4 linked regions of the Tamandua tetradactyla genome follow. The protein of the gene in region 1 purifies or fractionates together with the protein of each later gene. This does not show direct contact. Links are inferred from orthologs where the notes say so. Each region holds a gene or a part of one and is shown on either strand. Other genes may lie near its edges.

Region 1 (8,054 bases):
CTGATACTGCTTCAAATATTAGGGACACCCAAATCAATAGGCCAAGCCTTTGATCTTGAGGCTTACTCTTGTGAAGCTTAAGTAGGTAGCAGAGAAGCTTAGCCTACCTATAGGTATACCTAAGAGTCACCTCAGAAGGACCTCTTTTGTTCCTCAGATGTGGCCTCTCTCTTTCTAAGCCCAACTCTGTAAGTGAAATCACTGCCCTCCCCCACGTAGTGTCATCCAGGGGTGAAAGTCTCCCTGACGATGTGGGAAAGGACTCCCAGGGATGAATCCCGACCTGCACTGTGGGATCAACAGTTCTATCCTGACCAAATGGGGGGAAAGAACTGTAATTAATAAAGTATCAGTGGCAGAGAGAGTTCAAATAGAGTCGAGAGGCTACTCTGGAGGTCACTCTCAAGCTTCAGTTAGACATATATCTATCATACCTTGCCAAATCCCAAAACCATTCCAGCCAATCCTAAAGAACACCTAGGGCAATATATAAGATCCTACAAAGGTTCCATGTACTGGGGTAACTTTCTAAAAACCTAACAACCTCCAGATAGGTTCCTGGACCACATAAGTCCTGAAACCTAAAGGGCCCAGCCTCTCCAGAACATCGCTGGTTCCATCTCCCTACCCCTTATTACTGACAGTCTCCTCCAATACGAAAAAGTTAGAATGGCCATAGCTCAAATATCCCTAAAGAGTGGGACAGAAAGATCAAAGGTGATGGTGGAGTTATACAGAGAAAGGTAGGGTTTAACAAACGAGTATGACTGCAGAATCATTAAACTGATATTTTAGTCTCCAGTATATTAGAGCAGCTAGAAGTAAAAACCTAAAATTGTGAAATTTTAACCCATACCAAATTCTGAAACCTGTTCTACAACTAACTGTTGTGCTGTGCTTTGAAAGTTATTACTTTTCTGTATATATGTTATTTTTCACAAAAAAGAAAAAAAAGTCAATTGTGATTATAAAAAAATATATATATTTATTCTTCTAGCCCCTTATACTCTGGTGCAGAAAGAAGGAAAAATCTGAGAGGATGATATGGTAGTCCATGACAAACTCTGGGATCTGAACCACTTGTGGAAGAGTGCTTTAAAAACTATTGCTTTTTTCTTTCTTTGCTTTGTATATATGTTATATTGTACAATAAAAAGTAAAAAAAAAATAGTCTAGTAAGTTATTTACACAACATTTAGGTGAGAGGTTTGCTTGCTTTTACATGGACAACATGTGTAAAAGGGAGACCCACTCTAAATGTTGGAAACAGTGATAGCTCAATCATAAAACATGCATTTATTTTTTGTGAATTCTAAACACTTAACTGTGAAATGATCTTTAAGACTCTACATAAGCCAACAAGACACAGGATGTTTATTACAAATACCTAAACCATACATGACCCAGTTTTTCTCTCAAGCTTGCATCTTCAGGCTAGGGGGAGAGTAATTGTGAGGATCCACGATGCCTTCTCCAAATTCCCATCATTCAGATATCAAAATCAAATAGGTAAGTGGAGAGAGAGCAAAGGTCTGTACTCCACTCAGAAGAGACACAAACTACAGGCCAAAAACTACTGAGAACTGTGAAAACATTATTTATCCCCTACTCATAAAATGTCATCCTTTCCAGAAACAATAACAGTAATACTTCCAATTTGTCTCCTTGTCCACTAACTCATCAAACAATGCAGAACACAAATCACAGACATCAGAGCTTCAAGTCTGCCAGTGGTCTTCTAAAAATGAAGGCTCAGTGGAAGGCTGAGGATGGGGCCTGAGATTCTGCGTTTCCAAAAAGCTCCCAGGTGATTCTGGCTGTTGGTCTATGCATCACACCGGCACCCTTAGGTCACACGTGTTCCTAAACAGACCTGCCCACGTAACTCCAGAGAACCCAGTGAACATGGCCAGGCGTTATTGGAGGACATGAGGCCACGCCCATTCCACATGGATCTGGAGGAGGAGGAGGAGTGTGAAGAGGACCAGGAGGCAGAGAAAGAGAGGGAGGGAGAGGTGGAGAAGGAGAAGGGGGAGGAGGAGGCAGAGGAGGGGGGAGAAGGAGGAGGAAGGGTGGGAGAGGAGGGAGAGGAGGAGGAAAGAAGGAGCAGGAGGATGAGCAAGCCCTCTATGTGAACTAACAGGAGGAGAGAGAGGTGAGGGAGGAGAAGGAGTAGGGGGAGGAGGAAGAAGGAAGGGGAAGAGCGGGAGGAGGAGAGGGAGGAGGAGGAGGCCACTCCACTTGGGCCAACAGAATGGGGAGGAGTAGGGGCAAGAGTAGGAGGCCGCTCCAGGCGGACACACAGGAGGTGGAGAAGTAGGGGCAGGGGGAGGCGGGGGAGAAAGAGGCGGCGGAGGAGGAGGAGGTGGAGAAGTAGGGGCAGGGGGAGGACGAGGAGGAGAACGAGGAGGAGGAGGCGGAGGAGGTTGCGGCGGACGAGTAGGAGGACGTGGACGAGGACGAGGACGAGGAGGATGAAGACGAGGAGGAGGAGAATGGGGAGGAGGAGCCCGCGCTGTCCGGTGCGCCCGCCCCTCCGTCGCGCGCCCTCGCTAGGCCGGGAGGCAGCCCTCCGCCCAGGCCTTTACACACCAGGACCTAGAAACACTGGGCGACGCGGCCGAGCGCGCCCCTGAAGGGATGGGGACTGGAGCCGGGCTCGGACCCTGGTAGGCGCTGCTCGCCCCTACCCAAGGTCGGCGCCTGCTCCTCGAGAGCCGGGGCAGGGGCGCTGGGGTCCGGGGTGAGATCCGAGGGGGCGGGAGGGAGGGCCGGCCGGCGGTTACACAGCCCGCGCCACACAAGGTGCTCTCCCCGGCCGCGCTCACTCACCTCCCCCGTACACGCCGCCGCTCATGGCCGCTGCTGGCGCGACCCCTACGCGGAGCCGCCAGGTGAAGGGACGTGTCCGGCTGAGGCTGGGAGGCGCTAGCCCCCTCCCTTAACTTCACAGCCGCCCCTCAGCAACAAAGCGGCGCCGCACACCGGCGCGCAATCACACTTGCTGGCTCTTCTCATCAACCAGTCGCGAGCGGGCCAGCCTTTTCCGCCGGCCAATCAGAACAAGGCTTGCTGTGTCCCTGCGACAGCTCCGTTAGTTTAGCCAATCGAAGGCCGCCATAGGGGCGGGGCGAGGGGGGAGAGCGACGGAAGGGCAGAAAGTTAGGTTGCGGAGCTGAAGAAGGCGGGACTTAGCAGGGTGGGCGGGGCCGAGGGAGCCTGAGAAGGAGGAAAGAGGAGGGAGGTGGGAGTTGAGGGGGGAGGGAAGGGCGGGAGGGAGGATGGAGGGGTGGTGAGGGGAGGGAGGGAGAGAGAACCGGAGGGGAGGGAAGGAGGTAGGGCGGAGGGCGGGGGGGCGGAAGGCGGGGGGCGGAAGGCGGGGGGCGGGGGGGGGGGGGGGGCCGCCCAGGGCAGCCGAGGAAGGCAGACCTCCGGCATCGAAGTCTGAGGTTGAGACGCTGCCTGTCCCTGGATACGGCAAACGGTTGTCGCTCTGCTGCTTCTCCAGGCTGGCAGCAGTTTGATCTCTAAAAACGCCCAAATCCGCCTTCAGTCTTTTACCGTTGACTTTGGTGTTACTTGTAGGTTTTTAATAAACGTCTTTAATTAGGTTGAGGAAATTGCCTTGAATACCTAGTTTTCTGAGAGTTGACATGACCATATGATGTTTCATTCTTTTTTCAGTTTGCTGGAATAGTGAGTTTCATTTATTGATTTTCAAATATTGAATCAACTTTGTGTTCTTAGGATAAATCCTTCTTGGTTATGATGTATCTTCCTTTTCGATTGCTTAATTTGGCTTGCAAATATTTTGTTTAAAAGTTTTAAGTCTGAATGGAATGATATCTTATTGTTTTGTTTGTTTGTTAATTTTTTTAATTAATAAAAAAATTTTAAATAAAGTTTTAAGTCTGTGTTCGTAAAATATTTTATTCTTTAAGAAAGAAAGATGCCCAAATCTGTTCATGTCTCTCCATTGCTCACACCTGTGAGATAGTTGCATAGCCTTCTAGCTGAAGTCAGTTCTGAAATTGGCAGGTCTAGAATCTATACTTAGGGTTATTCTTAAACTGATGAAAATTGAATACAGACTCATGAGTGATGGTGCTGTAGGGTGGCAGGAAGTGATGGAGAATGGGGTGGGAAACAAAACTAGTGAGAAAACCCTGGCCCATTCACTTTACCCAGTAGGATTGTATCACAGTATATTATATCACTTAAGAAATTTCCATTGACCCAGTGAGATGATGCAGGGGTTAAGCAAACTTTGGCCCATGGGCCAGAGCCCAACTGTCATCTGTCTTTGCATGGCCTGTGAGCTAAGCACTCTTAAATGGTTTTAAAAAAAAAATTGTTCTATGATGTGAAAATTATATGAAATTCAAATTTCAGTGACCATAAACTAACTTTTAATGTGATACAGCCAAACATCCATTTATGGCTGTATTCACTCTATCCAGGCAGAGTTGAGTAACTAACAGAGACCATGTGGTCCACCAAGCCTGAAATATTTACTAGGAAAAAGTTTGTTTAGTCCTGAAACAATGCATGTAACAAACTGAGCACAGTACACCTCGTTTAATAGTTGTCCCTTATTTACAGCTCTTATTCTAGCATATCAAATCCCCAAATCATTTTTACTTCCACTCTGTTTTTATGTTTGACTGATAAAGCTGATGACCTATAAAACATTGTGATCGTAAAATTGTGGAATTGTAACCCATACCAAACTCTGAAATCTGTTCTACAAGTAACTGTTGCGATGTACTCTGAAATTTACTGTTTTTTTTTGTAAATCTATTATCACAAAAAAAAAAAAGAAAAAGAGAGAGAGAAGGAGGAGTATAGCAAAGAAATAGGATTTAACAAATGAATATGACTGCTGAATCATTATATTGATATTTCTTTTGGTCTCCAGTGTCTTGGAGCAGCTAGAAGAAAAAAACAAAAAATTGTGGAACTGTAACCCATGCCAAACTTAAAAATCTGTTCTATAACTATTTGTTAAAATGTACTTTGAAATTTATTGCTTTTTTATATATATGTTCTATCTCACCTAAAAAAATTGTGATGGGTTGGTCTTGAATAATTAAATATTGAAGAGATAATATTTGTGAATTTATAATATGCTACAATCCATTTAAATTTTACATTCAAATGCATAGTAATTCATATACTGTAACTTAAATTTGATTTTATATATGGATATTGGTCATCAAGACTATCTCCCATGCATGTAGGAGAACATATTCTAGAAAAAAAATAGCTGTCTAGTCTGGCAAAGAGTGAAATGTCTGTCCTACCAGTTCAGAGTTACCAGAAACGAAACAGATCAGCAGTGTTGACAACTCCCCCACCCTCCCTTGAGTTGCAGTGCTCTAAAGGGAAGTTTGAAATGCTGTGACTGTTTCCTGCCACCATGCCCACACCAGGAGCAGTTCAAGATGTACTCAAAAGTTATGCTTGGGTATTTTTGCTTTGAAAGGAAGGATTTTTTTCCCCATTAGATAATTTGGAAAAATATTTAAAAACAGATCCTTACCTCTAGGTCAGCTTACTCCTTCATGTATCATTGGACTCTTGTTTCTATTTAATAATAAACCATTGAAATGAACTTCAAATGAAATTAACTGCACAGTATATCTGATGTGTCAGGGCTGATCAGATAAAAGTGCACACTTAAGCCTTTCATAAAATTTAATCACTAAACAGTGTATTATGGCATGAAGATGATTGGCCCTGAAGTATTGAATTGTTGGAAAAAAGGAAAATTGAGAAATAAGAAACCTATTCAGCAGCCTAAGAGAACAATGCTGGGGACTGCACATTCTGTGTAGTACTGACATTGTTTCCTCTGAGGCAAGACTTACAGTGTGCAAGCTTGTTTTCTTCTGTTCTTCCCAACTAGGAAAATTTACAGGAAATATGTAATAAGACAAATACAACAGAGACTCAGCAGAATACAAGTACATACACACACACAATCAGAGGTATTTTTGCATCAATATTTTTTCTGTAACCTAATACCTTCTTGCTAAAATTTCGGCTCAGCCTGCGTTAATGTTGTCAATAACAGATTAAACAGCAACAAGGACTCAAGGTTATTTCCTGGTATTCAGTCCTCGTGGGCATAACGTATCAAAATAATCAATGCTGGGCGGGCCACGGTGGCTCAGCAGGCAAGAATGCTTGCCTGCCATGCTAGAGGACCCGGGTTCAATTCCTGGTGCCTGCCCATGTAAAAAATAATAATAATAGCAATCAATGCTGCAGCCTCCTCCTCCCTCTCTGAGACACAATATTAGGTATGCCAACCTGAAAATAAAAGTTTAAATAACATGTATGCAAACTTATGTAGCCCCAGAAGGCGTTCAATGATTGATTCTCTATCTAGGTCTATAAAAATGAATGTCCATTCAGAAATCTTTTATAAAATCCAGTCATCAAGAATTCCCTCCGTACCTGGGTGCAATACTCGGTTTTGCCTCACTGGGTCGCTGTTCCCCAGTACTTGTAAATTTGTACCAGGCCCGCCTACAGTCGCGTGAACCTGCACCGCTTTTGTCACCAGCCCAGTCAGCGCTCCGATGATGGAACTACGGCACTCATTACAAAATGCTGCTGAGTTTATCCTTTGTGGGCTTCGTCCTTTAAGTTCAGAGTTGGGAAAAACGAAGCTTTCCTGTCATTTAATTTTGAAACTGTCATTAATACAGGCTATGAAAGGAATAGAGTTTCGTCCTACTAAGACAATTTTTGGAAGAAATGATGCCCAAACTTAAATACATCTAGAATTATTTTATGTCGTGCTGCAAAATACATGGCATTAGCAATTCTGAAAAGCAAATTTTAATATAGAGTGTTTTGTGTAGACATAGGTATGTGTAAAGACTACTTAGTTATAAATGCCATCCTCTATTTGCTAAAGTTCCAAAAGTAAAACACCTATGCAAGCACTCCTACATTCCAGAGCAAACATCTGGAATCTAGAGTTTTTCAGCCATAGAAATATGATCAATCAAATTCACACGTCTTTTTGCCATTAAAATAGTTCTGCTAACCATTTCAATAATATGATGTAGATATGTGAAAAAGAAAACGAACGTATATTTACTTTATAGCACACTAATAGGTTTATTATAGTATTAACGTTGTGGTCCTGGGGACGTGGGGGTGGGATAAAAAGGGAGAAAAAAGATGAAGGGTGTCATGGTCAGGATCATGTGTCAACTTGGCCAAGTAGTGGTACCTGTTTGTCTGGTTGGGCAAGTGCTGGCCTGTCTTTTGCAATGAGGAAATTTCATAGAATTAGATCATGATCACATCAACTGCATCCACAGCTGATTCCATTTGTAATCAGCCAAGGGAAGTGTCTTCTGCAATGAGTGATGCTCAATCTAATCACTGGAAGCCTTTTTAAGGAGGATTCCGGATAGACAGGCTCTCTTTCTGCTTTGGCTGGTGAACCTCTCCTATGGAGTTTGTCCAGACCCTCCATCAGAATCGTCAGCTTCACAGCCTGCCCTGTGGATTTTGGACTCTGTGTTCCCACGGTCATGTGAGCCGCTTTTATAAATTTTATATTTGCGAGTGTTCCCTGTTCATTTTGTTTCTCTAGAGAACCCTAATACATCTTTGTACCAGGAGTGGTTCTTAAGAAACAGAATCTTAAAAATGGGTTTTTATGAATGGTTTTCTACTCTGACTGGACTCAGAGGCACTAAGGACTCTGATTCCCATAAGCAGAATGACACTCCCAATCCATGGAGTGAACTGGCAAAAGAGATAGTCAAAATATCGCCTTCAATTCTCCTAATGCTTCACTTGTACAAAGCCAAGCTCTCGGGGATAACGTTTTTGACACCTTTACAGAGTTTTGTGGAAATAAGAGATATAGAGATGTTGGCTGGTTGTTGTTAGATACACTGGCTACATTAAGGAGTGAAAGGGATGGGCTTAAGGCTTCAAACGAGAAACTTAAGCACTGTCAGACAGATGTAGAAGTTTCTATGAGTGTCCTGAAGGAAAATCTTATTTCCTATAGCCGTAGACTT
Region 2 (7,706 bases), on another chromosome or scaffold:
GAAATAGAAAGGAAGAGTCAGAAGGAGCAGAAATGAGTACGAATAGATAGAAAACATTCAAGTAGAACTGCTAAAGAAAGGTAATAGAACTGGAGAATATAGGCATATTAGCAAAGGCCCAGGCACTAACAGTACCTGTATTTCCTCTATTTAAAAACCAAATGCTTTTCTTGTACTTAAAGATGTCTCGCTGAGGTTCCCCTTTGCTCACATAAATGAACTGTCAATCCCAGGAGTAAAGCATGCATGCCCAATTGCTCTCTAGTTAGTAAGATCAGAGTTCAGCCACAGAGCTGGAACTCAGTGAACACATGTGGGGGACTCACATGTGACACCAAGTTCTGGCAAACTGTAACAAACAGAGAATGGCTCATGTGAATAGTCTGGAAAACTCCTCCCTCCAAAAAAATTCAGAGAAAGGCATCACTTCTTTCCTAAAATCCTACTAGTTGTTGGAAAAAGACACCACATACAATTTTACAAAGATTAAAGGAAAAAGCCTTCAACCCTTTGGGCAGGAGTTCCGAATTACCTTTATAAATAATCCAGAGAAAACCAAATGACAAAGAAAGGTACAAATTACTAGCATGGATGTATATGGTTGAGGTATGCGATAACCCAAACCTCTTGAATCATTAATTCATAATTAATTCATTCATTAATAACTCTGATAATGGAAAAAAGATACAACTCAAGGATAATTTTCAAATATTCTTAATTCCATGCATATATTTTTCAATGTATTTTGAAAATTAGGCAAGAAAGGCAGTGTGATGAGAAGATCAGAATAGTAACCCAGGTCTTCTATCTCTAATTATCTGTTTGATGATGTCTGAGTCACAACCACTCAAATCTGTTTCCTCACCTCTAAAATGAGAACAGTAAAGTCGTACATATCTTCCTTGGGTTGCTGCAACGGTGAAATAAGATTATGCACCTTTGAAACTTCAAAGCACAACAAAAACGTTAAGTTTCAACTGTAGGATTAAATGCTCCTGGGTCACAGGAACTGATTTTATTCATGTGTGTAGCCCTGGCTTATGGAATAGTAACTGGTATAGCTGAATGTTCAATCTAGCTTTTCAGTAAATGTACAAAGAGTGCACTAAGTGGATCTTTTTTTGTGGGGGGGGCATGGTTCAGGAACTGAACTGGGTCTCTTGCAGAGAAGGCAAGCATTCTACCACTGAACTACCTGTATGCCCTAAGTGCGATCTTTTTTAAAAAACAAAAACAAAAAGATCATTTATGTAGTTTAAGAGGCCTACTGGCATGTCTTTAGATATTATTTTTCCATAGAGAAAGGAAATAGATTCTGAACCTCATTTTCAAGTTGTTTTTTTTTTTTAAACTTGGCCTTAATTATAGTTGTCTAAAGGCCTGATAACCAATGATAACTTAAGGAGGGCAGTAAAGAAGCGTAACTGTATAACGTGCAACTAGGAGAATATTCCGTATAGTCAAATGGTATACTTTGACAGCTTGTAAACTTTAGCTAGTATTTCGTAATACTTAGTATGGAGATCCACACATAAAACCAAAACTCTGGAAGGCTGAAAGGAAAAAAAAAATCACTCATAATCCTACTTCTCAGAGAAAACCACTTTAACTATGGTGTTTAGAGCTTTCAGTATTTACTTTATCCCTGAGTTCCGCACTTTTTTTTTTTTTAACAAATGCAATAAACTATATATATTATTTTGCAGCTAGCCAGGGATTATCTTAGGGAAGATTCTTCCAAATGAATTGATGATTTGATAACAATCTAGCACATGAATATACCACAACTTACTTAATTTGGATAAAATATTAATATTTGAGATATTGTATACACCCCTAAAGCCAGTGAGTGGACAAAGCCCTTCCATCCATTTATAACATTTCAGATGTTTTAATCTGAAATAGTCCTCAAAAAATACTTTCCAACCTTCCATTTTGGATCTTAAAATATGAGCAATCTGTTAGTGAGTAATAAAGCAAAAACTATACTAGTCTTTTATATTTGTATTGAGCTCAATTTGTTCCCAAACTATACTTGGGAAAAGTGTACTTTTAAGTGGAAAAAAATCACTTTGGAGGAGCCCTAGATCGTAAACAATAAGTTAACCAAAATAAAAAGCTTTACTCTAACATTTGTTTCTGTAATTATTGTACGAATTTCTAAACCCAATACTGTATATTTGTCATTTGCTTTTCAGGATTTCTTCCGTATTTTTTTTTTTTTTACCACTCTTTCTCCTTTAAATCACAAATATCTTCCCCATAATAATAAAACTATGTTTCTCAGTCAAAAGAAAAATACTAAAAACAAGGAAAACCCCCAATTTTTGTCATGTTCCAGATGGGACCTGAAACATTTGGCCTCTACTATAAATAACAACCTCATGGACAAAAACACAGTCTGAACACTGTCATCTGGAAAACATAAAAAATATATCACTAGGAGAGTTTGTGTCGGAAGCGACAAGAAACAACAAAAAGGCCCTGGCCGGCGGAGGAAAGGAAGGGCTTTCCCGACCTGTCACTGGTACGGGGATTTTAGGAAACGTTGACAGCTTTGAAGACAATTCCGCGGCGAGCGCTCCGCCAGCCGACGGGAGCCGGAAAGAGGACACAGGGAGTTCTCTGGCCGCTCCGCGCCTTTGTCCCGGCCAGCAGGTGCGGCGAGGTGGCCGAGCCCGTCCCAATGCCCGCCGCCGGGCCGCGCTCCGCCCCGCACGCCCGGCCGGATCGGCGCTTCCTCACAGCCGGGGCGGGGCCTCCGCTGCCGCTCCCGCCCGTCCGGGCCCACACAAAGCCCCGGCAGCTGGCCGAGGAGGAGCGGCCCCGCCCGCCCCCGGTCCGCCCTTACCCAGCTGCTCCGCCGCCTGCAACCCCGGCCGCGGTCACCGACCGCCACGCCCCGCCCCGTGGCCGCCACGGCTGCTTTATTGCTCCTCCCGCCGCGGCCGCCGCCGTCGCTTCAGCACTCGCCGCCCTAGCCGCCCTTACCCCGCCCGGCGCCGCCGTAAAGCTAACCCGGAGATCACCAAGCGAGCCCGTCTCCTCGCGACTCTGCGTGCGCGTGCACGCAAGACTGCGGCGGCGCGCTTTACGGCGGCCGCTTTGCGTGACGTTTTCCTTTGGCCTCATTTCGCACGTGGCACTGGCAGAGAAAGGTTGTCGCTGGTGACACTGCGGCCCCCACCGCCGATATGAAGCGGCCAAGTGAGTAGTGGGGACGGGTGGAGGTGGAGAGGGTCCCCTTTCTGGTGTTCCTCAAACCCACCGGGACCCTCTTTTCCACGGCTGGCTCTGTGCGGGGTAAGCAGGTAGGCCATCTCCTCGTTCAGTGAGGAACCAAGATTGGATAGACTCTACTTGATCCTCCTTACCTGCCTGCCCGTTGTACAGAAGGAAGGCTGGGTCCCGAGAATGGGAAAGGCCGTGTCAGAGTCTTATGAGGAGCGTCTTAGCGAGGTCTTAGGCCCAATCTTTTTCCTTCTGCGGCCACGTACAGACGATCCACCTGAGCGAGTACTGAGAACTGCTTCTCAAAATCCGCTTTCCGTTCCTTCCTTTCTTATGTTTCGTGGTGTTTGAGGGAAGTGGCTATTGTATTTGATCTCTTACGCTTCCATGTGTAATCCCAGTATAATGAGGGAAGAGTAGGAAAGAAAAGTTAGAGCGCCACCTCAGATCAATGAGTCATACATTCTCTGAGATTTGAGAGTGGTGTGTGTTTTATTAAGTTCCCAGAAGATTCTTAACTTTAGGTTTGAGAGGTAATGGCTTAATGTGAAAAGGGACAATCATCGGAAGCTAAGGAATCTGATTATCTGTGGTCTAATAATTTTATGATGTGTTTCTTTGTAGAGTTAAAGAAATCAAGTAAACGCATGACCTGCCATAAGCGGTATAAAATCCAAAAAAAGGTGGGTATTGTGTTGAGGAGATCTATACCAAATACATTGTTAAACTAATTTCTGCCCACCCCTCAGACCCCCAGGGAAGTTTGGGCTAATAAGATTTAGCCTTAGGAAGTGGGTTGAATAGGTATCATGAGTAGAGCTGTGGGAAAGTACAGTAATTTGGTGATAAGACAGTGCAAAATTTAATGGACATGTTCAGTAATCCCTACAAAGAGAGATGGAGAAAGTAGTGCCACATGATTCTTTGTTTTTTGGCAGTTTATAATTATGTATGTTCTGTTAGCTCAATTAGAGCTTATTTTTGTAGGTCATCTTGCAGGTATCCCTACACTTCGACCAGATTGGTTTCTTGCATGAATCAAGGAGGAAAGTTTTTTTGGTAAAGTTATGTAATGTTTTCAATATAATAGGTACGGGAACATTATAGAAAATTGAGAAAGGAAGCCAAAAAACGGGGTCATAAGAAGCCTAGGAAAGACCCAGGGATTCCAAACAGTGCTCCCTTCAAGGAGGCTCTTCTTCGAGAAGCTGAGCTAAGGAAACAGCGGGTAAGATATATTTGTTAAAACTTTCAATGAGTGTGGGTATACATACATGTGTCTTTTCAAAGCAGTGCCAAGTCACTTTGTATTATCCATTTATTTTATGGCTTGGACACAGCTTGAAGAACTAAAACAGCAGCAGAAACTTGACAGACAGAAGGAAGTGGAAAAGAAAAGAAAACTTGAAGCTGACCCTAATGTTAAACCATCTAACGAGGGACCTGTGAAGGAGGTATGATTTAGTCTCTTTGTAAGTGAAAGGTAGAATGCTGACACTGAAATATAAGCACATACACAGGGTGAGGGCTGCTGTGCTTCTTAGAAAGAAAAGACTGAGTTCAGGCTCTGACTTAATTACTTAAATATGCAGTGCCTTTTAGTTAGCCATGGAAAATAGAGAAATAGGCTACAATTGTTGTATTTCTAATTGTGGGTCTTTTCCCCTTTTTCTTTATCACCTAGGAATTTGGGCAACACAAAGCTAAGAACAAAGCCAAGCTGGGCAAACAGAATCCAAAGAAGTTATATTGTCAGGAACTTAAAAAGGTATCTTAATCTAGCTAGGTTCATGTCTAAAAATGGTAATTAGGTTTAAAAGAATTAATTATTCCTCTTTCCTGTCCCCATGCCACAAACCTTGTAAAGGTGGAAGTAGAATCTACTTGAGCTGGGAGAATCCTTTAGGAGGTTGTCTTATGCCATCTAAGGCCTTTCCTGTTATGTTGAGCTAAGGGAACTATTTTTTTTTCCTTGAAGTGAGGAATGAAGTTTACAAATGGCTTTTTGTGTTAAAGATACAAACCATATTTTGACCCACTGGCTTTTAAGATGGAGGAAAACACATTATACAGTAGTAAAATAAGGGTTTCTAATGTGCTGTGGAAACCTAAGTGAAGGAAGTCAAGAGGGTGATGTCCTTTTGGGGTAGGTGACACCCCACCCCCACCCCCACCCCCCACTATCCCTGACCTCACTTTCCGAAGCTTATTATTCCCTTTGGATAGAACCTGATTATGCATCTCAGCACCTCTTATGCATCTCAGCACCTCTTCAAACTATAAAGTGGGGGAGGATTACAATTCAGACATTTGGGGGTGTTGCCACTTATAAAATCTACTCTGAAGAGAGGCTGAAGGCCCCTGTGCAAGCCTATATGTTTTCTTTTTCCTGTGTGAGAAATGATGAACATATGAACATTCTTCATACAAAATGAAGACATGAAATCCAACTCTGAACTCATTCATTTGCAAAGTGGATAATGCCAGCACACTTGTATTGAGAATGTTTCCAGAGTGAGTGATGTAGTTCTGATTGTTCTATCCCTTGACAGGTGATTGAGATCTCGGATGTTGTGTTAGAGGTTTTGGATGCCAGAGATCCTCTTGGTTGCAGGTGTCCCCAGGTAGAAGAGGCCATCATCCAGGGTGGACAGAAAAAGCTGATACTTGTATTAAATAAATCAGGTGAGCAAAAGGCCAGGGTGCCCTTTGTCTTGGCATATGCTCTAGTGAGGAATGAGGAAAACATCTGAACAGTCTGATTGCCACTGAAGCTGAAGACTGATAAGATCCAACTCTGACCTCAGTTAAGCCTGTGCCTGTGCTCTGCTCTCTGGTTGCCAAAGACAGTGCTAGGCAGTGAGGGGAGGGTGTTTTCCAAAGTGATTTACCTGGTTTCTGTTGTTTTTTTGCCATTCAGTACTTACCACTTGTCTTATTTAAGATTGTAAGTTTCTGTGGCTTGCCTAATGTTTGATATATTTTGCATAAGAAGTGATAACATTGTATCAAATTCCCCCTACACATAAAATAGTCGAGTCTATAATAAAGTCAGGAGCTAGGTAAATTAGAACCTGTATGATAAAGTATTTAAATAAGATGTATAATTGTGTATCTGGGTTTGAGTAACAGGAGCAGATACCTGAAAGCAGAAAGTAAAAATGGTATCTAAAAATACTGTTGTGGACAGGAAACAAATGGTTATTAGCAGAGGATAAATTCTAGAAAAAAGATTAGCTCTAGGATTAGTAAGGTTAGAATCTAGAGGTTGACTCAGCTCTGAAAGATGAGCTTGGGAAAATGGGAATAAAAGAAATACAGAAGTGCTAACATTGGGCTCTATTAAGAGTAGCATAGTATGGAATTTACCCTGTCCTCCAGTTAAATCCTTCAAGAAAAACCTGGGACAAAGCGAACTAGAATAAAACTATAGTTTATAGCAGATCTTGCACATTTCTCAACAAAATTACCACACTGAGGCATCTGTCTTATTCCTAAATTCCTACCAGATCTGGTGCCAAGGGAGAATTTGGAGAGCTGGCTAAACTATTTGGAGAAAGAATTGCCAACAGTCGTGTTCAGAGCCTCAACAAACCTGAAGGACAGAGGGAAGATGATCAAGGTACTGTTAAAGTAAAGTGTGGTTCTTATTTGGGGCATGAAATCTATTGAGTAAAAAATCTTGATATGAAAATTAAACATAAGATCCAACTCTGATTTCTTTCAAAGAGATAATCTTAAAAAGCAGTAGAGGATGATAATTAAGAGCTGGGCTCTGGAGCCAGATTGTTTGGGTTTGAAGTGGTGAGGTGTCAGATGTAGTCATATTAATTATTTGGAATTTTAACATGGGAAGGTAAAGAAGAAAGCTGCTCCATTCAAAAGTGAAGTCTGCTTTGGGAAGGAGAGCCTTTGGAAGCTTCTTCGAGGTTTTCAGGAGATTTATGGCAAAGCCATTCGGGTTGGTGTAATTGGTGAGTATTTTTCAGTTCAGTACATTTTACTTCTTACCTCTTAAGTGCCAAGATATTTAGCCAAGAAAACCTAAATAGTTGTTGCATGATTCAGATCTTTGTTGTGGCTGGGCATTGTAGGAAATTAGCTGCTGGAAAATCTTAGCATATTTGAATTGATTTACTTGTCTATTTTTTCATTACTTGAGCAAGAAATGAAGAAGCTGATTGGTCCTAGTGTTGAAGTGAAGATTCGCAGATCCAACTCTGATCTTGCTCTAAATAGCAGGCACACATAAAGTTAGGCAATGGAAATTTTATAATTATCAGCATATAAAACGTTTCATATCTCTGGATTTCCCATTTATTGATAGGTTTCCCAAATGTGGGAAAAAGCAGCATCATCAATAGCTTAAAACAAGAACGGACATGCAATGTTGGTGTATCCATGGGGCTTACAAGGTAAGTTGAGCTGTTCCATAATAGCAATATTTTAGTACAGATGTGTATATGTAACTTTAG
Region 3 (7,556 bases), on another chromosome or scaffold:
TGATGCTCCTGGTGGCTGGGACTAAGGGCTTAAGTGAAAGGAGAGCATGCCCACCATGAGCAGAAAGTATATGGAAGTCTCTGAGGTGACACCAGCAATCCCTGCTATATGTGTATGTGTTTTCTTTTTCTTTTTTTCAAGCTCTCAATTGAATGTGATCTACAGCTAGAGCCACTATCTGGAGGGAGGTGGGTCATCACTTTCCTTTTTTCAATAAGTTTCCCTATTTGCCCATTTCTGGACCTCAAATCCCCACTCCTCAGGCTCATCTGATGAGCCCTAAGAGTCAAAAAATCCTTTTGCTCCTCAAATCTTAAGTCCTTTTTCCTGGAGGTCACACTGAACATGGAAAGAGGACAAGCAGATCCTCCTGTTCCTGAACTCACCCGAAGTAAGCTGGGTTCTTCCTCTCCCCACCTACCTCTTTTTCTACTCCCTAGAGGAGAAGGAGGAGGAGGAGGTGATGATAAGAAGCTGATGGTGAAAGCGAGGGGTAAGGGGTATGGTATGTATAACCTTTTTTTTCTCTGTTATCGTTTTATTTCTTTTTCTGTTGTCTTTTTATTTCTTTTTCTAAATCAATGCAAATGTTCTAAGAAATGATGAATATGCAACTATGTGATGATGTTAAGAATTACTGATTGTATATGTAGAATGGAATGATATCTTAATGTTTTGTTTGTTGTTAATTTTTTTTAATTAAAAAAAAAAACAGCTGATGGGATGGGAAGCCCTGGGAAACAGAAGGTCAATGCCATCCCCTAGGTCCCCACCACGAAGCCCAGGAGACCCACCCAGCCAGCTTGGCTTTGTCACAGGCCCAAGACCACTCCCCACAAAACATCCTTACAGGGGCTTTCCCAAGGGCATACTTCCCATGGGTTGTATGCCAAGGGAACTGGAAAAATCCCTATCTGCTTCCAGGTCCCTCCCAGGCAGAAGGCCCACAGGGAGACTCACACCCAGGTCTCAGTGAATAGGTCCAAGGGCTGGAATAACTGATGTCGGGACTGTTCAGGGACATCCTTGACCCCTGAATGCCCAAGGGGGAGGGTATGATAGGAAAGATAGACCCTAGCTGGAGGGTTTGGAACCAGGTCTATCTCTGTCCCAGACCCAGATCTTTTATTTTATTTGGGGGGAAGAAAGAGGATAAAAAGTGAGAAACATCACTGTCCCCAGTTAACCATCTCTTTAGAAATTGAGGGCCATGGGGCCCTGGTGGAATGCACACTCCCTACTCCATGAAGCTCCATTTCTGGGACCTCTGCCCAATGACTTGAGGAGCCCCAAGTCATTGGGGCTTTGGGAGAAGCCAGCACCGAATGCTGGGGCACAAGAGTTGGGATATGGCATTGTCAGAACATGAAGGCTAAATGGAAGTGCAGGTGGCCAAGACAAGGACAGACACAATTTCCAAGCATTCTGGTAATAACCTGAAACAATGGACTAGGGGGCTGATGAGACCCACCAACAGGGTCCGGTAGAGTTCTTCACACTGACTCTAAAGATTGAGGCTTCTCAATAGCCTTTGGAACTGGAACCTGAGAAGCTCTCTTTCCAACGCTCAAAAAGGTCAAGGCAATAGGACCCTTTGAGGCAATTCTCCCAGGATCCTCGGCCTTAGACTGGCAGGGTTCAGTGGAGCCGCTCTGCTCCTCCAGACTAATCAACTCCTGGACACTATGGCAATAGGCAGGAAGCCAAAAAGAGAGTCTTCCAGGAATGGTCTGTCACTGGGCTGGGCCTCTCTTCTTCCTCAGGCCTGGCTGCCACCATCTCTGGTCTTGGGATATCCCCAGTAAACACTCTACTCTGACCCAGGAGTAGTGTCTCCCTCTGCACAGGGGTGAAATCCCTTACTCTAACCTCAGCCTCCAGGGACAGTGAAGTCAGGCCTTCCTTATCACTAAGCAGCTGGGAGCCATCTCAGACACAGTGGGCCAAGGGGACAGGGGATGCTAGAACGCTGCCAGCTCCCAACCAGAAAAAACAAGACAGACTTGGGGTGCGACCAAGGCCAGTGTAGGGTAACTCTGGTTGCTCAGTGAAGGCCCCTGAGACTCCCCTTTTCCAAAACTTTCTCCTCACTTCCCAGGACCTTTATACGCTAGGATCTACACTAGACTTCTCAGAACCACCCACCCACACACCATTCCTCCACACAACTGCTCCACCTCCCAGTTACCAAGTAGAGTCTTTACCGAGGGAAGGCCCCAGGCCCTCCCAACTGTTTCAAACGTTCCACCCCCGAATCCCTCTTAAACCTTTCCCCAAACTCCACCACCATCTAACCGCACCCTGAGGGTCCTTGGCCTTGTCTTCCACCATGTCCCACGAGCACCTCATGCAGAGCCTCTGTGCCTTTGCCCAGCAGGCTTCCCCAGGGCCTCACCCGGGGCCCCCGCCACCCCTGCCCGCAGCGCCCTCGTGGATCTGCTTACCCACCCACCCTTCTCACCTGGTACGGCGCTGCAGGGCCCGCGGGCCCCATGGGGCGGAAGGCGGCGGTCCCAGGGCCCCCCACGCCTCCAGCCGGCCCAGGTCCCCTGAGCGCTGGTCCAGGCAGCATGCCGGATCCCGCGGGAGGAGGCGGCACCCCCAGGGCCGCGGCCACCGCGCCGCCGCCGGGACTCAGTGGGGGCAGCGGGAACCCGCCCGCGCCACGGCCCGACATCGCTCCGTCCCCTCCGCGGTGTCTCAATCCGGACTCCGGGCTGCGCGCCGAGTCCGCTCCGTGCTCCGCGCTCCGGGACTTTCCGATCTAAATTCCGGATTCTGCTAATCCGGGTACTGGGGTTTGTTGATCCAGGTTCCGGGATTTACTAATACAAGTTCACGAGTTCCTCACTGACCGGATTTGGGCCCCGGCCGATACTGATTCCGATCCTGTCTAAGAAACTCCGGATCCGGGATCTGCTACGCACCAGCCTGCAGTCCCCGGCCGCCGCAGGTTTGGCCGCGGGAGTCCGGGGGCCTGCAACTCCTCACCCCGCCCAACCCCGACCAGCACCAGGCCCCGCCTATGCCTAGCCGCCCAATGCTTGGATGCCTCCTCAAATCCCGCCCCTCGCGAGAACCGCCCCTAGCAGGCACCGCCCCTAACCGCCAGCCCCGGCGTCCCGCCCGCAGCCCTTGATCCGGCCCTTCGTCCGAGGGGCGGGAGGGGAGACGTCGCACTGAATCGCCGAGGAAAGCGCGAGGGTCAGAGATCGAAGGTCATGAACGACTTCAAGAGTGACTGAAGAGTGAATGGGGGAGTACTCTAGTGTTAACCGCCTTACCGAATTGCCCGACCATATTCCATGAAAATAGTTTGTCATGTCTCCTTTTTACATTTTCAACGTAAAAGAACTCAACCGAGAGCTGCCCTCTGGGGCAGAACAGGCTGCCAAGTCCATTTTCTTAAAAAGCCCTTCCTGGTGGCCCGGAGCTGCCAAGGGATATCGGTGGTTCCAGACCCCATCCAGCTGTGTGAATGGTTTGCTTGGCCAAGCGTTGAATTTTTATCGCACATTTTAAACATGGCTCTGCCTCACTTTAAGGAAGCCTACTATTTTATTCCACATAAATTTTTTCTAGGTGAAGGAAATTTGCGTTATAAAAAACCACCCTGGAGTTCAATAAGGTGTTTCTCTAGTTTTCTTTAACACTTAATTCTCAAGAACTCAACACCTTTTCAGAAACTACTGTCTTGTCTTAGTAGGTATTAAAATTGCTTTTGGTTTCAGCTGCAACAGGGAGCCTGCCTTGGTGGTCTGGGGTCTCTTCACCATGTTACAAATCCGCGCATCTCAAATTTTGAGCATAAAAAACGCGTGGGGTTTGTAGATTATGGTTCATTACGTCTGGGGTAGGTCCCAAGATTATGCATTTGTAATAGGCTGTCAGACAAAGTGTGCTGTTGGGACCACACTTTGAGTAGCCAAGATAGAGACTTTCACTATGTGGCCCTCTAACCTGCTTTGTTTTCATCTCCAGCCAAATGATAGCTTCCCTCCGAGCATCAGGGTAGCCCAGATCCTAGTATGGTACACTCCTTCAGTGCTTTTTAGAAAGGTATGCTGATCTGTACCTCCTTGTATCTTTCCTCCAGTAATAAATCTGGCTGCTGCTGTTTTCCTGCCTCTTAGTCCTCTCAGAGATCCCGCTCCTCATTCTCCTGAAAAGTTGATTTACCTCCCAGCCTGGGGACATGCCACAGGAACTGTCACAGCTCCAGTCATTGAACCATGGCTCCTCTCCCCAGCCTGTAAAGTGGATTAAGAATTCATGATGAGGCAGATTACGTTGTTTACTTCGAGTCTTTCAAGCTTGTTGAACAGTTCTCAACAAAGTGGTGGAGAATCAGAATCTCCTGGGGAGCTATTCCAAAATATTCCTGCCTCCCTTCCATGCCTACCATTCAAATCCAGTAGGGGCTGTGGGAGGAGACTCCCAGTATTACATTTTAAAAATAAACTCCCCAGTAATTCTGATATGATCCTCCTTGTAGAGAACCACTACTCTGGAAAAGAGGCAAGCTAATAAATGCATTTAAAAACATAAAATAGGGCGGTGCGATGGTGGCTCAGTGGCAGAATTCTCTCCTGCCATGGGGGAGACCTGGTTCATTTCCTGGTGCCTGCCCATGTAAAAAAAAAAAAAAAAAAACAGATAAAATAGTTAAGTGTAACCAGATCCAGTTAATCCTCTGCCTGAACTCTCCCTAGTTCCCCGTGCTTAGATCGATTGCCACACTCCCTACCATGCACATAAGGCTCTGCAGGATTTGGCCTCATTTTAAATCACCGCCTGGTGTTTTCTAAGCACGAGCCCCAATGGTACTCTTGCAGTTTCTCAAACTGGCAAGCCGCTTCCCACCTCAGAATCTCTACTCACAGCTCTTCCTTAACTTTTCTAAGCTCTCCCCTTACTTTGTTTACTTCCCACATAGTGATTATCACAATGTGTAATTACTTATTTAAGTATACTCTGATTTACTATTGATCCGGCTCCCCCACTACAATATAAACTCCATGAAAGTGAGAACTGTGCCTCTCTTGATCAATGTCATAAGCCACTCAACAAATGTTTGTGAACAAAGGAATGAGCTTAAGTGTAGTGGGAGAAAATGGTAAACATATACAGCCAGAAATGAGTTAATTGCTGTGAAAAAATATCCTCAAGGAGCTGGGAGGCAGAGATAGCGGAGGGATTAAGAAAAATTTCCTAGAGGGTAGACTCAGAGAATAGCTAACATTTATTAAGCATATGTGCCTGTACGTATTAGCTCATTTAATCTTCAAAACGTATATGAGGTAGGCACTATATAGGAGATAGATATAATTTTTACCTCTATTTTACAAATTGAGGCAGAGAGATTCAGTAACGTGCCCACCCTCACCATGATGGTGCTAGAATTCAACCTGGTTCCAATTAGGCTCTAGAATCCACAACCCAAGCAATTAACCATACATAATATTTATTACCTCTGTTAACAGTCATATTTCTAGTCAGTTATTACTTGCAAATAGTGTTCAAACTAGAAAGTAAGTGCCTTGGGGACTCAGAGAAAAGGGAATTGATTAGTATCATAATCTGGTCCTGATTAACCAGAAAATGTTTTCTGGAGAATTTTGTTTCAAAGAAAATACCAGAGGTAGTCACTCAACAGGCAAATAGGGTTTGATATCTCCCCTTGGGACAGTTCAGGAACTTGTGAAAAGAGGTGATAAGTTACCTCTGAAGACCTGATAGAGATGGGAGAAAGGGAGAGCACCTCACAAAACCTAATGATGCAGCCAATTTCGGGACTTGAAACCATGGAGGCAGCATTCCTTTGTTCCCAAGGCTTGGAATATCTTTTTTGCTTTCTCCTTTCTTCCATCAGTATTTATTCTTCTTACAGCCCACGTTTTGGTGATTCAGTTAAACAACTTTTATTGAGGCCTCCAATGCTCCTAGTCTTATACTCTAGAGGATGGGCTTTCTTATAACTTGGCCCTCCTGACCCTGTTGGATCTACAGATGCTCAAAGAGACTGAAATGGAAGTAAAGTATTTAATACAACCAGAGCCAAATACAACAAAAGGACACTTCCCAGTGTGGACTCTGTGGTTCCCTGTGGTGGGAAAAATAATCCCCAAAGAGTTCACCAAAGAAAGACATTGGGAACAAGATGGCCTAATCCGTCCCCCAGAGCAGGCCAGCAGAGGATCACTGCTCACTATGGAGGTCCCTTAGGAGGTCAGAATTTCGGGAGAAGCAAGGCAGATAGTCAGGTCATGGCAGAAAACACTTGCCAAGATCCAGCCTTGCTGGGGTCATACCAAGAGCCTGTCTCCATTGAAGCATCCACCTCCCACATGGATGTGGTGGTACAGCAGGCCCTGGGCACAGCCCAGCCAAAGTGGCAGAAGGGCTATATACTACGGTAAAACAGCCTATTTAGCATTTGAGAAATATTTACAGCATGTGAGAGCAACTTCCATATGCCAGTCCTTGACATAGTCTAGTAGAGAAGATACATGTATAAATAAATAATTTCCTTATGTGATAAAGATATTTACCAGGTGCCATAGGAAAACAGAGATGGCTTTAATGGGGAAAGAGATTAGTGAAGGCTTCCTGCAGGAGATTATATTAAGGAGGTTAAGAGTCAGTTAGGCAAAGGAGAGAGAATAAGGACTGAAGCCAAGAAATAGTACATGGTGAGGAGAATTAGAATAAGTTTGGCTGAATTGTCAAGTATAAGACAGGGAGGAGCTCCTCTGTGTGCACATTATGGCCACATAGTTTAGAAGGTAAAATACCTGAAGACTAGAGACTTCCAATGGTGGGAGCAGGTACTTGTACATAAGAAGTAGGCTTCAGATCAACACTCTGGAGCCAAGGGCTGGGGCATGATTCTCCAATTCATTCTCTCCCCAGAGAGAACCAGAGTTCCAACACATTCAGAGACCTGGGTGACACTGTGGTCTCAGTGGCCTCTTCCTGATCGCTTTGGAAGTCACCTGAAGAACAGAATACTCTGACATCAGACCTGCTCAGAGGTGTCCTCCTGGTTCTCGAATTTGGACCCAGAGCTGCTGACAGAGCTAAACAACAGGCTACTAAGATAGAAGAAAGATAAGGAAAGGAGTCTGTACAGGGATCTCTCCCTCCCTTACTGGTCCCTAAATACCCATAATACCCATGGCCTTGTGATTCCATCCTTACCTCTTTATTGTCGAGACAAACTCATCTACTCCCATAACTTCAACTAATGCCTATTTTCTGATGACCCTAAATTTCTTAATTTCAACCCTACGTCTCTCTTGAGCTGCAGATACATTTTTCCAACTCCCTGATAGTTGTTCCATAGGAAATTTAAACCCATCTGTTCAAAATCAATATCTCATTTTTCTTACTTCCAGTCTGCCTCTCCTCCCTGGGCTTCATCTTGGTTAAGCCATGAAGACATGGCAAAAGGCCAACCCTGCCTTGCTGAGACATTCAAACTGGTCTTGCAGGCAATGGAAAGCTAAGAAGATGGAGTGACCCACCAGATACGCAGGGTAGCTGAAACCAAAAGC
Region 4 (7,584 bases), on another chromosome or scaffold:
TTAATATTATTAATAGTTGTACTCTTCCTTCTCTAATAAAATAGTCAGCAAGCTCACCAGTGAGAATGGTGGATGAGGAGAATGTACATATTAAATTGTGAGAGAGTTGCTACCTTTTTCCTCATGTTAGATTGACCCTGGGTATTCTGTTTTGTTTGAAACCTACCACAAATCAGACTAGCCTAGACCTTTATTTTATGTTTGGTTTTACTTTGGGAGGAGGTGGTGGTCAGGCCAATTCTTAATTTATAATGGTACAAATTAAGCTAGTTAATTTATAGGTAAGGGTATTTTATCATAGCTACTTTCCTTGGGGGGGGAGCCATATTCAAATATTAATATGTCTCAAAATGTGTTTTATATCATTATTCTGAAATGTAAATCCCCCCAAATTGCTATTTTTTAGACCTTGAGATGGCATATTTGGATTATAAAGGAACTTTACAAAAAACAAGACCTTAAGATGGGCGAAAAAGGATGTAGAGAAGGGGTTATTAGGCACCCACCAAACTTGATGCATCCTTGGTTATTCCTTTGGGATTCTAAAGGTTTTTGGCAGGCACAGTTTTACCAGGAAGGGTTTTTGAGCGCCATTCAGGCTCCATTCCATTTTTCTCGGTGTCACTCCAGTTCATATTTTACAGTTCCCGCCTGGTAGCCGGTAACATAATGAATTGCCTTGACTCTCGCTTCAATCCACTTTCCTCTCTTAATATGCAGCCCAAAGTTTTGCAGCTCGCTGTCAGATGATAGTGCTAGACTTTCACACTGATCCCAAAGCCTCCACTGGGGCTGTTTCTTAACACGGAGTTACAAACTTTAAGAAACAGACAGCTCCAGGCGGAAATCCATGCCAGACTTTGAATTCCGCTTCTGGCTTCCGTCAACTGACGGAGTTGCCCTTTTGCTCAAACTCGCTGCTCCAGTTCGCACTCGCGAGCTCCGCTGGGTGTCTGCTGTTTTGCCGCGGCTGGAATGGGTGTGGGGGCAGCAACCACCGATTCCCCGCGCTTTAGTTCAGAGCTTAAAAAGTCCCCCCCCCCCCCCGAGGAATGGGGGAAGGAAGGAGTCCTGATGAGGAGCAAAGCCTGACCTTTTGTTTGTTGAGTTTTGTATTTCAGATCTTTTGGGAAAGCAAAGCGCGAGAGAGGAAGAGCTATCCTCCCTACAAACGTTTTCCTCTCTTAACCTTCCAGGTCTCGGATCCACATTTTGCAGTTGACTGTGTGGAATCTAATAGGTTGTTCCCTTGTTCTCGGGCCCAATTCATGCGCAATGTGCAGCTGGGTAAAATGAGAGCACATCCTCTGCCATTTTCAGTCTGTTTGTCCTGGCAGCCGTACTCCCTTTACCCGGCGGCCGCGGCCGCTGGAGTTAATGTTGTGTCCAGAAACCCCGCCAGATCCTCCGGGAGGTAGATCCAGTCCACGTTTGCCCAAGTGCCGTGCGGTCGGGGACGGTGATAAGAACTCTCCTGTGTGGAGAGCAAGCGAGACTTTAGTCCGGTTTCCATGTCAACGATTCAGTCCGTATTTGCCATCAGGCTGTTGGTGGTTGAGGCGCTTTCATGAGGGTAGCGCTGTCCTAGTCCTAGTTCTCCAATCTGCGTCGGGATTCCTGAGCTGCCTGGGTGCGGGGTTAAATGGCAGGGGCCATGGGGAAGAAAACTCCACCGAGGGGAGGACTCGTAGTCCCTAGCTGGGTCTCGCAGCTCGGGCCAGCCACGTGCCCAGCTTCCTCCCCTCCCCCCCTTTCCCTGTACCCCTAGAGAGAGTTTGTGGGCTAGTTTCTAAGAAAGTTCCCTTCAGGCGTGCGATTCCAGGATGGGGGTGTAGGGCTCTAAAGGTAGGGATAGAAAAGGATCCTAAACGAGTTGGAATTAAAAAAAGAAAGAAAGAAATCCCGTGTTACCTCCCCCAGTCCAGGTGGATAGATTTTGGGCAATTCACCTAATTGCTAGATAAAAATGGTGGCTGTTTTCAAAACAATGCTCACATGTAGGGAGAGGAATTTTGGCACTTTCCATATTTCACAGCCACTGAAGAAAGGGAATGATGAGGGTTTCTTTTGGAGACATCCATTCAGGCTTCCAGATATACACTGGCTCCAAGTTTCCCATTACACTTAAGCTCTGAGGAAAATGACAGGGCAACTGCATGTAAAAATTCCTCATTTGTGTGCAGGACTCAGGACTGTTTGCCAGTTCACGGGCAAGTGGTTAATAACCAAACTCCATTTATGAGGCAGAATATAATTTGGTTTCTTTAACGTAATACACTAGGAAAGTTGTTGTCCCTGGACTATGAATGAAACTAAGGCACTGGCCCATTCCAGTGAATTGGATCTTCTTGGTAGGGTTTCAATTCTTGACTTTGGGGGAAAAAAAGGCAATGTTTTAGATTAGGAGGATGGTTTTGCCTTTTTAGTGTAGGATGCTCTAAGATTTTTTTTGGGGGGGGGGTGTTAGAAATGAGCTCAGGCTTTTGGAATTATTCACAGTGACCAGTAGCTTGGTAAGGACTCCTGCAGGGGCCTGCAGAATCTGAAAGTGCTAAGATAATGATGAAGTCTCCATTTATAAAATCTGAGGGGAAAAGAAGCTCTGGGGTCTAGAAACGCTTGTCTGGGCCTCTCTTAAGGCATCTGTGAGCCTGGTGAGGAGTTGGAATCCCCTCTGGCTTTCATAGCCTGTCATGTCAGAGCATTCCAAGTCAGCCTGAGGAGGAAAAGGCTGCTGGGCAACGCTGGAGTTTTTTTATGTATGCCTTGATCTTTTCAAATAAACCTGACCTAACTAACATATACCTAACTCCAGTTCCATCAGGTTTTCTTAGAATGTGATGGTAAACTTTAAAGAATCTTTACACTGAGGAATAAGAAACAAATCTGGGTTGCATCTGTTTTCTGAATGACCTTTTAGACTGTGACTTTTCTGTTTCTTTAAGGATAAAATTGTTTCCCTCCTTTTGGCCATCCCTTTTCTTCAGTGGTTTGTTTGAACATCAGGTACCTCCAGCCCAGGAAGCCTCTTCCACAGGCTGTAGGGGCTGCCTTTGGGTATTGATCATTGTGGGCTAAGCTCTTTTAGGAGATAGAGAAGGGGCTCATATTCTACTTGATGTCTGACTGCCATATGCCTCCAAAGCAGCTTCCATTGAGACCACTTTAAATCTGTGGTGAGCTGAGCAGCTTTGATCTCAAACCCATCCTTATTCTGATATTCTGATCCCATCACTGGATTTGTCCACAACTTGACTGCTTTTTTTAAAAGGATAAATAGACAGGAATCAGCCTTGGGGACTCCACTTCTTTTTAAAGCCACCTTCCTCTGTCCTCTAACTTTGTGACCCAAGACAAGTCCCTTCCCCTCTCTATATTTCAATTCTATGAAATGGTGATAATCTGGACCCCAAGGCCTTGTCAGGACAGGATAATGGAGGTAGGATAGCAAAAAAACAATGATCCTTAGGCCAGCTACCTAGGTAAAATGCTGGGACCCACTGCCTTACTCAGCTGGATCTTTAGAGCCGGTTTGCAGCAGAGGTGCTAAGTAGCTGCCAAGAGACCAGGCCCACTGCCAGGGGGTCAGGCCAGAGCCCTGGCGGCCGTGGTCTCGGGCTCAGGCCAATTTTGCAGCCGCGGGTAAAGTTCACGCTGCCGGCTCCCTTCCGTGCCGCCACCGGTTGGGATGGGAACGCCGGGAGGGAAGCGGCGCAGGTTCCACAGAGGTGGGAAGTCCGGGCCAGGTTTTCCCCGATGCCTTCAGCGGCGGCGCGGCCGAGCTAAAGCTACCGAGGGCCTACAGCCGCCAAGGCTTGTTCTTTCCCCTCCTCCTTTGTGAGGGGAAGGGAGAGAGTTCGTTCCGCGGCCCGCGCCCGTTCCGTGTTCCATTTCGGGTTTGCCAGGCGGCCGCGACGGCGCTGGGTAAAATGGCAGTGCTGAGCCTCGTGTCGGAGTGAGGGGGACTCGGAGGAGAGTGGGGCGCTCTAGCCACTCAGTCCGGCCGCCTGCCCGCTCGCCCGCTCGCGGCCGCACAGCAGCCTCGGCCCGAGCCGTGGCCGGGGAGGGGAGGCACGGCACCCGGCCCGCGTTCCGATTTTCCCTCCCGGCGCCCGGGTTGCTGCCGCGCGCCCTCCAGCCCGCCCGTCCCGGGTCCCCCTCCCCCCGCTCCCTCCCTCCCTCCCCGCCCCCTCCCCCTCGCCTCCCTCCCTCCCTCCCTCCCTCCCTCCCTCCTCCTTTCTCCGGCAGCAGAAAGCGGAGAGTCACAGCGGGGCCAGGCCCTGGGGAGCGGAGCCTCCACCGCCCCCCTCATTCCCAGGCAAGGGCTTGGGGGGAATGAGCCGGGAGAGCCGGGTCCCGAGCCTCCAGAGCCGAGAGCAGCTAAGCCGCCGGCGCCTCGGCCGCCGCCGCCTCCTCCTCCTCCGCCACCGCCAGCCCGGAGCCTGAGCCGGCGGGGCGGGGGGGAGAGGAGCGAGCGAGCGCAGCGCAGCAGCGGAGCCCCGCGAGGCCCGCCCGGGCGGGTGGGGAGGGCAGCCCGGGGGACTCGGCCCCGGGGAGGGGTGGGAGGGGGGGGAGAAGACGAAGACAGGGCCGGGTCTCTCCTCGGACGAGACAGCGGGGATCATGGCCGCGCAGGTCGCCCCCGCCGCCGCCAGCAGCCTGGGTAACCCGCCGCCGCCGCCCTCGGAGCTGAAGAAAGCGGAGCAGCAGCAGCGGGAGGAGGCGGGGGGCGAGGCGACGGCAGCGGCCGAGCGCGGGGAAATGAAGGCAGCCGCCGGGCAGGAAAGCGAGGGTCCCGCCGTGGGGCCGCCGCAGCCGCTGGGAAAGGAGCTGCAGGACGGGGCCGAGAGCAATGGGGGTGGCGGCGGCGGAGCCGGCAGCGGCGGGTCCGGCGCGGAGCCGGACCTGAAGAACTCGAACGGGAACGCGGGCCCTAGGCCCGCCCTGAACAATAACCTCACGGAGCCGCCCGGCGGCGGTGGTGGCGGTAGCAGCGACGGGGTGGGGGCGCCTCCTCACTCGGCCACGGCCGCCTTGCCGCCCCCAGCCTACGGCTTCGGGCAGCCCTACGGCCGGAGTCCGTCGGCCGTCGCCGCCGCCGCGGCCGCCGTCTTCCACCAACAACATGGCGGACAACAAAGCCCTGGCCTGGCAGCGCTGCAGAGCGGCGGCGGCGGGGGCCTGGAGCCCTACGCGGGGCCCCAGCAGAACTCGCACGACCACGGCTTCCCTAACCATCAGTACAACTCCTACTACCCCAACCGCAGCGCCTACCCCCCGCCCTCCCAGGCCTACGCGCTGAGCTCCCCGAGAGGCGGCACTCCGGGCCCCGGCGCGGCGGCGGCCGCCGGCTCCAAGCCGCCTCCCTCTTCCAGCGCCTCCGCCTCTTCGTCGTCTTCGTCCTTCGCTCAACAGCGCTTCGGGGCCATGGGGGGAGGCGGCCCCTCAGCGGCCGGCGGGGGAACCCCCCAACCTACCGCCACCCCCACCCTCAACCAACTGCTCACGTCGCCCAGCTCGGCCCGGGGCTACCAGGGCTACCCCGGGGGTGACTACGGCGGCGGGCCCCAGGACGGAGGCGCCGGCAAGGGCCCGGCGGACATGGCCTCGCAGTGTTGGGGGGCTGCGGCGGCAGCGGCGGCGGCGGCGGCCGCCTCGGGAGGGGCCCAACAAAGGAGCCACCACGCGCCCATGAGCCCCGGGAGCAGCGGCGGCGGGGGGCAGTCGCTCGCCCGGACCCCGCAGGTACACAGCTGAGTGGGGAGGGGGCTGGGGCTAGCGGGGTTCTGGGAGGTGGGTGGCGGCAGCGGGAAACCGGCCACAGCCGTGGGCTTCCCCCAGTCCCGGGCCCCCACTCCTGGGGACCTGCCATTGTCTGGCTCTTCTTTCTTAAAATGGCTGCCTCTCTGCCTACCTCTCCTTTCCTCCTTCAGCCTTTGTGTGGGGCTTTCACAGAGGTGTCTGCTCCCCTTCCCCCTCTCTCCTAGTTCCTTAGAACTCTGGGGGTCTTCAGAGGGGTTGTGGGGCAGAGTGGGCGGCGAAGGGCCTTGCCTGGGGTGAGCCGGGGCTGGGGACTCAGGTTAGCGATATAGGCAGTGGCAGGAGCTTCGGGAGTTAAGAGAACAGTTTTTTGCTCACCTGCCACTCCTCTCTGCCCCCTTGCTTCCTCTAGGCCGTTCCCCTTCTGTGCTTTCAAGGAGGGGCCCCTCAGGCTCGAGGGAGGGCAGGGGCCTGCTTGGAGGCCGCTAGAAGCCGGCTGCGGTTCACCCAGGACAGCCCGGGCCATCCCCGGTCTTAGTCTTCTTCGGCCCTGTGGCCCGGGCTTCTCCCTGGAAGTGCTGGTAAACAGCTGAGTGATTGGAGTAGTAAGTGCAGATTGCTTTGGTTTGGGATTTGAATTATGGAGGTAAAATCCTTCTGTCAAAGCCAGGAGACAGTTGGTCTTAGGTTGACATCCTATCTGTGATCTGATTGGCTCCCCATCTCCTGCTCTTGGCCATTTATAATTGCCTCTGATGTAATGGTACAACAATCCTGATGAGCTCATAAACTTTTACACTCTGCTTTTCTGCCAGTGATAACCCAAACCATCGCTGCCACTATCTGCCTTTTATTCCAGAGCTGAAATTGGCTGTGACCTTGAGGAGGGAGGTTTAAGCAGCAATACTGTATCAGCAGGAGCAAAGCCCCAGACAGGTTGCCCTTGTTACATTGTGCACAAAACAAAAGAGAGGCAATGGCATTTCACTTGTACCTTGGATTTATTTTGCTTGTTATGTTTTATGCAGCCTGAAATAGATGCTGTGTTGTCAGAACAGTAGCTGAGTTTTTCTCTACAATGGGTTTGCTGTTTGTTTTGGTTTTGACTTTCCTGATGGTATAAATGACTTCTTTGATGATTCTGAAGATGCATTTGTCTTGAGTAATTTCGATCTTGTTTGCTTTTCAGAATTGAAATTATTTTACTGGGCATTTTATTGAGTGGTGAATGTGAGATCTTTATTCGGGAGTAGTACTTTTTTTTTTTTTTTTCTTAGTTTGGAGAACTGGAAGCTTTTTGAGAGAATTTTGTATTAGGTTCAAGTGTTCTGTTTGTGACCTCATTCTTTGTTTACATGTTGAATCTAACACTCTTTTTTTTGTTAATTAAACTTTGGCAGAGCAGCTCAATTTAAAGGGAAGCTAATGTCTGTATTTCATGATGTTAAGAGGGATTTTCTCCTGAAGACTTGATTTGGTGAAATTTATCATTTGATCCTGTAATATAAAAAACTAGTTTTCTAATGTTTCAGTCATTTTAGAGCTTTGAAATAGAAATCGGCTAACTTTTTCTCTGCATCCCTAGGTATGTTTCTTTTTTCTTGTCTTCCAAGATATAAAGATAGGACCTACTGTGATACTTAAAAGATTTGCTTAGAAATCACAATTTTTGTACTTTTTAATGCATCCTATTTTATTTTTATTTTGCTCTTTTTCTCTCTTCATTGTGTTCTGTCTTCAAGGTTTTAATCAGGAATGTTGGGTTCTGTATGGAGCCATATATCTTTAAGAAGAGGGAAAGTGGTCCCTTCATGCTCCCTCACC

The links.
Region 2: the proteins of ACTL6A (region 1) and PBRM1 fractionate together in Homo sapiens (co-fractionation; 4 studies listed by BioGRID and IntAct, with this or other methods). This does not show direct contact. The link is inferred for Tamandua tetradactyla from reciprocal best matches to the Homo sapiens genes ACTL6A and PBRM1.
Region 3: the proteins of ACTL6A (region 1) and SMARCD2 fractionate together in Homo sapiens (co-fractionation; 5 studies listed by BioGRID and IntAct, with this or other methods). This does not show direct contact. The link is inferred for Tamandua tetradactyla from reciprocal best matches to the Homo sapiens genes ACTL6A and SMARCD2.
Region 4: the proteins of ACTL6A (region 1) and ARID1A purify together in Homo sapiens (affinity purification with mass spectrometry; 5 studies listed by BioGRID and IntAct, with this or other methods). This does not show direct contact. The link is inferred for Tamandua tetradactyla from reciprocal best matches to the Homo sapiens genes ACTL6A and ARID1A.

The regions. Positions count from the first base shown.
Region 1 is NC_135331.1:77,893,264-77,901,317, reverse strand, and holds the start of ACTL6A (actin-like protein 6A), read right to left. Parts: upstream 3,021-8,054; 5' UTR 2,858-3,020; coding exon 2,833-2,857; intron 1-2,832.
Region 2 is NC_135341.1:33,174,270-33,181,975, reverse strand, and holds the start of PBRM1 (protein polybromo-1), read right to left. Parts: upstream 3,052-7,706; 5' UTR 2,992-3,051; intron 2,978-2,991; exon of another isoform or gene 2,852-2,977; intron 2,691-2,851; exon of another isoform or gene 2,519-2,690; intron 1-2,518. Other genes in the region: GNL3 (guanine nucleotide-binding protein-like 3), read left to right, coding at 3,195-3,207, 3,856-3,914, 4,322-4,459, 4,572-4,685, 4,916-4,999, 5,784-5,916, 6,741-6,853, 7,088-7,205 and 1 more. UniProt on the Homo sapiens protein: Involved in transcriptional activation and repression of select genes by chromatin remodeling (alteration of DNA-nucleosome topology). Required for the stability of the SWI/SNF chromatin remodeling complex SWI/SNF-B (PBAF).
Region 3 is NC_135332.1:5,011,490-5,019,045, forward strand, and holds the start of SMARCD2 (SWI/SNF-related matrix-associated actin-dependent regulator of chromatin subfamily D member 2), read right to left. Parts: upstream 3,017-7,556; 5' UTR 2,678-3,016; coding exon 2,462-2,677; intron 1-2,461. UniProt on the Homo sapiens protein: Involved in transcriptional activation and repression of select genes by chromatin remodeling (alteration of DNA-nucleosome topology).
Region 4 is NC_135328.1:199,507,624-199,515,207, reverse strand, and holds the start of ARID1A (AT-rich interactive domain-containing protein 1A), read left to right. Parts: upstream 1-4,567; 5' UTR 4,568-4,623; coding exon 4,624-5,745; intron 5,746-5,767; exon of another isoform or gene 5,768-6,696; intron 6,697-7,584. UniProt on the Homo sapiens protein: Involved in transcriptional activation and repression of select genes by chromatin remodeling (alteration of DNA-nucleosome topology).